Drosophila melanogaster: one gene and its partner. The protein of the gene in region 1 purifies or fractionates together with the protein of each later gene. This does not show direct contact. Each region holds a gene or a part of one and is shown in the gene's direction. Other genes may lie near its edges. The genes, in order: Polr2H and CG30458.

What was found.
Region 2: the proteins of Polr2H (region 1) and CG30458 purify together in Drosophila melanogaster (affinity purification with mass spectrometry, with the first as the bait; one large-scale study listed by BioGRID). This does not show direct contact.

Annotation. Positions count from the first base shown.
Region 1 is NT_037436.4:21,727,022-21,730,479, forward strand, and holds Polr2H (RNA polymerase II, I and III subunit H), read left to right. Parts: upstream 1-1,910; 5' UTR 1,911-2,095; intron 2,096-2,166; 5' UTR 2,167-2,171; coding exon 2,172-2,621; 3' UTR 2,622-2,673; downstream 2,674-3,458. Other genes in the region: CG14570 (uncharacterized protein), read right to left, coding at 2,721-3,407.
Region 2 is NT_033778.4:17,157,640-17,160,748, reverse strand, and holds CG30458 (uncharacterized protein), read left to right. Parts: upstream 1-1,710; 5' UTR 1,711-1,766; coding exon 1,767-1,769; intron 1,770-1,869; coding exon 1,870-2,304; 3' UTR 2,305-2,424; downstream 2,425-3,109. Other genes in the region: CG30457 (uncharacterized protein), read left to right, coding at 29-595; CG17287 (uncharacterized protein), read left to right, coding at 2,559-3,109.

The DNA of each region.
Region 1 (3,458 bases):
AGAAATAGTAACCGCAAGTGAAGCCGAAACAGAAACAAGAAGAGAAACAGCAACGGAACAGAAACTCCAGCTGTGTCAACAGTGATAAGACCTATGCACAGGAAAAATATTACCAAAATTGGTGGATTTGCATATTTAGGGGCTTCGAAAAGCATGGCACTTTTTACGTTAATGCAATAGTTCTTACTATTTTTGCAGTGTTGTCGAAATCACTTGAGATTTTTAGACGTTGTTTATCATAATTAATTAATTAATTGCAATTCATTGGCTATCCAATTAGAAAATATATTCGTTTCTTTACAAATCTAGTTAACAACGGAAGGTTGTGGACTGTTTTTCACGGTGTACAGAGCTAGGAGCCCAAGTCTTGAAGTGGGTCGCATTATCAATTGACATTTCCAGCGAACGTAAGCTTCCAAAAAAAATTCTTAGTTTGTTGTCTTAATCTTTTGTTTGGGCGGGAGCGAGATGGAGAAACCGCCTGATAAGATCCCGAGGAAGGCAACAACTGATAAGCAATCCACCGCTTTCACTAAAATCACGGTAGAGCTATAAAAAGATATCGAGATAAAGCTGTGCAACCTGAGCGTTTTCGATCCCGCGGCGTCTGTTCTCCGAGGCGGCGGAGTTTCCAATGAAAAGCGAGAACACTGAAAATGCAACTGCAAGAGAGCGATTACGATGACCCTGGGCTGGGACGAACATCTGGCAAGCAGATTGGGAACCCTCCGATTCCGATTCCAGTGCCAAGCAACCCCCTCCCCCTGCGGAGGGTTAATGGTTCATTAGAGCCGCACCCGCAGAAGCTGAAAACTAACTCACTTTAGCAGCACAACGGCCCTCGACCAAACTGTTGAAAAAGCGAATTTAAGCTAGAATCCGCAGCTGGGAATCGAAATTGAAAGAGAACAGGGCAAAAAGCACGAACGACAGCGAAAATCACACACAAAAAGCGAAAATAAAGAAGTGAATACATAACAGCAGTTTTGTAATGCTAAATAGGCGGGGTTATGGGGGTGGGTAAGGGTTAAGGCGGCGGCGGTCGCTGGATGAGGGTAGGGGCCGTTGAAGTCTTTCGTATTCGGGGCACAAAACTCGACGACTGTGTAGTTTTCGGGGTCTTGCAACCGATTGTTAGTAATTAATGAACCAGCACCACAGCACTCATATACGTAAAGCAATCCATTATACACATATGCTACACATTTGGCCCAGGGGCTCCACATTCAACACCAACACCAAAGCCCCACCGGGCGTGGACTTACCTTCGCAAAAAGCAGGAGTCGCTAGGCTAAGGGCCTTCGATCCACAGGAAACTTAGCATCACCCCGAATGGGACACACCTGGACTTCCTATGCATTCCGCGTCCGACTATGAGTTCGCTTCTTATTTGTTTTTAATTTCGACACCACGAGCTGTGTGTACATACTTTTTGCAATCCGCTAGGTGGCAGTCCGACTGGCTCCTCAAGGTGTATCCATCGTGCTGCCTGCGGCTTAACCTTTGTGGGACTTTGCGGGTTTGCCGATTCTAAGCCAATACTGCGTTTTGTCCAGCAAAATAAATAACAGTTTTCGGTGGTTTTTCGATGTTGTTCTTAATGTTAGTGATGTGTATTCACCGATAGACGGTCACACTGGGACTCTCTGTCTGCGCGGCCACAGATGGGAGCGTGATGCACAGTCACTAGTTAGAGAAAATCCAATAACGTGTAGGTTGCGGCGCAATAAGTTATAAATAAGTTAAAAATCACATTGCGCAGTATCACTGCAATATTTATTGAAATTTCAGTAAGAACAAAGTGAGGCACACTTTGTTGAACGTGACTTCTTTTACACACTGAAATCACAGCCTGCTGAACGTGACCACTTTGCTCACTGAAATCGCAGACGTGTGGCAACACTCAAGCCGCCAGAAAGATCTGGCATCTCTCATACTTAACACGCGCATGCAAAATATTTAAGAAATAAATATTAGTCGCTAACAGTTTAAATATAATAAAATTCTGCTGATATAAACCCAGTTCATAAAAGAACACGCATTTACCTCCGCATATAAGATCAAATACGTATAAAATCTAATTAGCCGACTCAAGGTAAGGCGTGCGTTTTTGGAGCTCCACTAAACTGACTTCAAAGCAATAACTCATCAAATACTACATTTCAGTTAAAATGGCTGGAGTACTCTTTGAGGACATCTTCAACGTAAAGGACATGGATCCGGAGGGCAAAAAGTTCGACCGTGTATCCCGCCTGCACTGCGAGTCCGAGTCGTTTAAGATGGACCTCATCCTGGACATCAACTCGTGGCTATACCCCATGGAGCTGGGCGACAAGTTCCGCCTGGTTTTGGCCACCACCCTGCGCGAGGATGGTTGCCCGGACAGCGGGGAGTACAATCCAATGGAGCACGAGGGAACGCGGGCGGACAGCTTTGAGTACGTGATGTACGGCAAGATCTACAGGATCGAGGGCGACGAAGCACACAATGAGGCCTCCCGGCTCTCCGCCTACGTGTCATTCGGCGGCTTGCTGATGCGACTTCAGGGTGACGCCAACAATCTTCATGGCTTCGAGGTGGACCAGCACATGTACCTGCTGATGAAGCGGCTGGCCTTCTGAATTTTCTACCTAATTATTTTCGATCGCAAATTAGACATAGACAACAAACTTTATTTACAGTGTATTCATGACATTGCTTGGAGTGCTGAAAGAAGTAGTCTATTGCCTGGATGGGCGTCTGAAAGGCGCATTGACTATCAGGCGAGATGGCCGTGGGCGAAAAGGAATGTGGCGATCCACGAAGGGCAAAGCCTGCGGAGTCGATGGGAACACTGGAGTAGGCCTAATAGCATTCACAATCTTGACCGCATCTGGCCGACGACGAACCGTAAGCTTAGCCGGCCGTCGCTGCGGAGTCCGCAGAACCGGACGCTGCGGGCGGAAGGCAGAAAGTCGGTTCAGAAGCGGCAGAACATACTGAGCCTGGGGTGGTAGCGGCAGACTTGCCAAATTAATTATAGCTGCGCTTTGTGGCAATGTGTTGGAGCTGTCATCATTGGCTGGCTGGTCTGGAGGTCCGTAGGTCTGATCGGGAGGTCCATAAATTTGGTCCGGTGGGCCGTAGACCTCAGCTGGCGCTTCCACCAAAGACGGTGGTCCGTATGTTTCAGGTGGAGGGCCATATGTATCCTCCGGTTGAGGAAATTCAACCGCCTCCTCCGTTGGCAGGTCGAATGGCGGATCGGGGACCAGGCCTGCTGGTGGATATGGGGCTTGTTCCTGTCTTTGCAGAAACCTTCCCGCCGCGGGTCCTGGGAACCTCAGATGACTGCCTTCAATTCCATTCAGGCAAAGAATGGAACAAAGCGCAAAGGTGACCAGAGAAGCACTTGGATAACCGGACATTGTGGTGTGCTGACATGAACTGCTGCATGGGCGGCTAAGTGGCGCCTATAA
Region 2 (3,109 bases), on another chromosome or scaffold:
CTGATTAATTTGGTAAATTATTGTGCAGAAATTCCTGGTTGTCGCCGTCGCCCTCTTGGCCGTTGCCCACGCCGATGTGTCCCACCTGTCGGGCTACAACTATGCTCCCGTCAGCATCCCACAGCCGGCTCCATTGCCCGTGGCCGCGCCCGCTCCCATCAAGGTTGCGCCCGCTCCCGTGAACACCTACATTCCCCCCGCACCCGCACCAGCTCCCGTCCAGATTGAAGTTCCCGCTCCAGCACCCGCTCCAGTGGCCATTCCCGCTCCTGCTCCCATCAAGGTTGCCCCCGCTCCAGTGAACACCTACATTCCCCCCGCACCCGTTCAGGTTGAGATTCCCGCCCCAGCTCCCGCTCCAGTTGCCATCCCTGCTCCAGCTCCCATCAAGGTTGCTCCCGCACCCGTGAACACCTACATTCCCCCCGCACCCGTGAGCATCCCAGCCCCAGCTCCTCTGCCCGTCAAGGTCGCCCCAGCTCCCGCTCCCGTTCCCGTCCTGGCTCCTCAGCCCGTTCTGGAGGAGATCGAGCCCGTGTCCGCCGATGGCTACCGTTACAAGACCGTCCGCCGTGTGATCCGTCGCCGTTACTAGAGAGCTACTCCATCGATGATCTCCGCCAGGAGAAAAATTATTAAATAAAATAAAAAAAAGTTACTATCTAAACTTTCACTGTGTTTGTCTTATAATTTAACAATTTGTATAAAAACAATTCCTTATCCTTTATTTTTTCTGTATAGCAGTTTAGAATAACCTTTATAGGTACTCTAAAGATGAAGATAGAAATGTGCTCGATTACCAGACATATAATATCCAAAACTGTGATGCATATTCTAAAGAATAAAATAATAGGCGTACAATGTAAAAAAAAAGTAAATAAATATAATTAAACTAGAAATCAAAACACATATCCAACCACTTTTTTTTAGATACATTTCAATCTTTTTGGCGAGCACATCTTTTACTACTTATTTGCACCCACCGAAAACGTGTTCAACGTCTGCCAGCCAAATGATGCGACGTAGAAATACTATAAACTATTTTATTAGCCAGGTGTTCGAAAAAGTCAGAGTCAGTATCCGGACCTGAGTAATTAATTAAGCTTCGCCAGACATTTTCAAGATCAACATAATCTAAACAAATTGAAATTAATTTTGGCATAAACTTGAAACGACTCCATAGGCCCGGCCCCAGGCTAATATTTCGCCCAGCTCAAAAAGCAGAAACAAGGGAATTGAAAACGAAAAAAATAATCCAAAAGAAATAAAATAATTATTAAAACATAAACCCAAGCCAATCTTGCGTGTGGCCCACGACCATTCATCAAAATAAAAACATAATGGCTAAAAAACAAATTAAACCATTATACAGCGTGCAACAATAGGTTTGTTTGATCTAATTAAAGAAGCTTTTGCAGTATCTGAGGACTGAAGACAAAAAGTTGGCCCAAGTCAAAGCAGCGATAATGCGATTTTGGATACCAAAACCTGAAACCAAAGCCAAACGAAACGAAACGAAACCAGAAAACCCGTCAAACCGCCTTGGCATTGGAGGCTCGTTGTCGTGTGTTCGGTATCGCTTGTCTTCCGACTTTTTTGAGTGAGGTGAAGACCCCCATGTATCATGGGGGCATCATGCAATTAATTTGGCTCCGGTTGACCCGCAGCCCCAAAAAACAATGAGCTATAAAAACCGTAGTCACACTTCGAGTTCAGCAGCACAAATCAACTTGTGATCCAAGCAGCAACAAGCCCATCTCCTCAAGATGGTAAGTTCAGGGATTACACTACCTAAAGGATAATCGGCAAAATATATATGCTAAAATTTGATTGAAAAAAATATCTAAACCATATGTATTTCCATCCTAGAAATTCCTTATCATTGCCGTCGCCTTCTTGGCCTGCGCCTACGCTGATGTTTCCGAGCCGGCTGCCGGAGGATACGATTACCCCCAGCCCGCTCCACCGGCGCCTGTGAAGAGCTACATTCCCCCACCGCCACCACCACCCCCACCAGCACCCAAGAACACCTACATTCCTCCCCCGGCTGCTCCTGCCAAGGCCTACATCCCACCCCCACCACCACCACCACCACCGGCGCCAAAGAACACCTACATCCCTCCAGCACCGGCTCCAGTTGCTCCCGTGGAGACCTACATCCCTCCCGCAGCCCCAGCCCCCGCCTACATCCCACCCGCTCCTGTCCAGGCCGAGGAGCCCATCATCGAGGAGATCGAGCAGCCAGCCCAGGACGGCTACCGCTACAAGACCGTCCGTCGCCGCGTCTTCCGTCACCGCAACTAAGTCTGTGTCCCCCAATTGTTGACTAATGTGATAGGCCCCAGGCAATGTTCACCTTGCCCAGGTATCAGTTAATGTTTTCTTTAAAGATGGATGTGAAGAGTAAATAAATAATCAAAAAGCACAACAGTCTCTATTACGTATAAATCAAAAGACAGTAGGCTGACAAAAAGGGCTCAAAAATACAAGTTATGCAACATGTTCCCGCAAAGAAATCAAAACACGACTCTCACCGGACGTGGAGGATCCCTTCCAGAATGTGCCCGATTGGGGAAGGCCATAGAAGAGTGCCCTGTTGCGCGGTCAGATGGCTTCCTGCTCTAATAATTCTGGGCTTTTTGGTATGGTCCTACCACGTATTTGTTTACCAAATCTGCATAAAGAAAGTTTCGGACTACTTGACCATTGGACTGTTGCTCTTTTTCTACCATCTACTGTTGTTCATGTTTCTATGGACATGGTTTCGGTGCATTTTCGTAGCTCCAGTTAGGATTCCCGATCAATGGAAAATATCACCCGAGGATGTCGACAAATTGAAGCGAAACGATGGAATAGAGGGAGCATCTCGAGTCTTAAATTATGCAGCTAGAAATTTACCCATTGCCACGTGCACCATCGATGGACTAGTGAGATATTGCAAGACTTGCTGGATTATTAAGCCGGATAGAGCTCATCACTGTCGAACCTGCCACATGTGCGTCCTGAAAATGGACCACCACTGTCCTTGGATAGTGAACTGCGTGCACTTTCACAACTTCAAGTACTTCATACTCTTCCTGTTTTACGCTGAAGTATATTGCTTTTATCT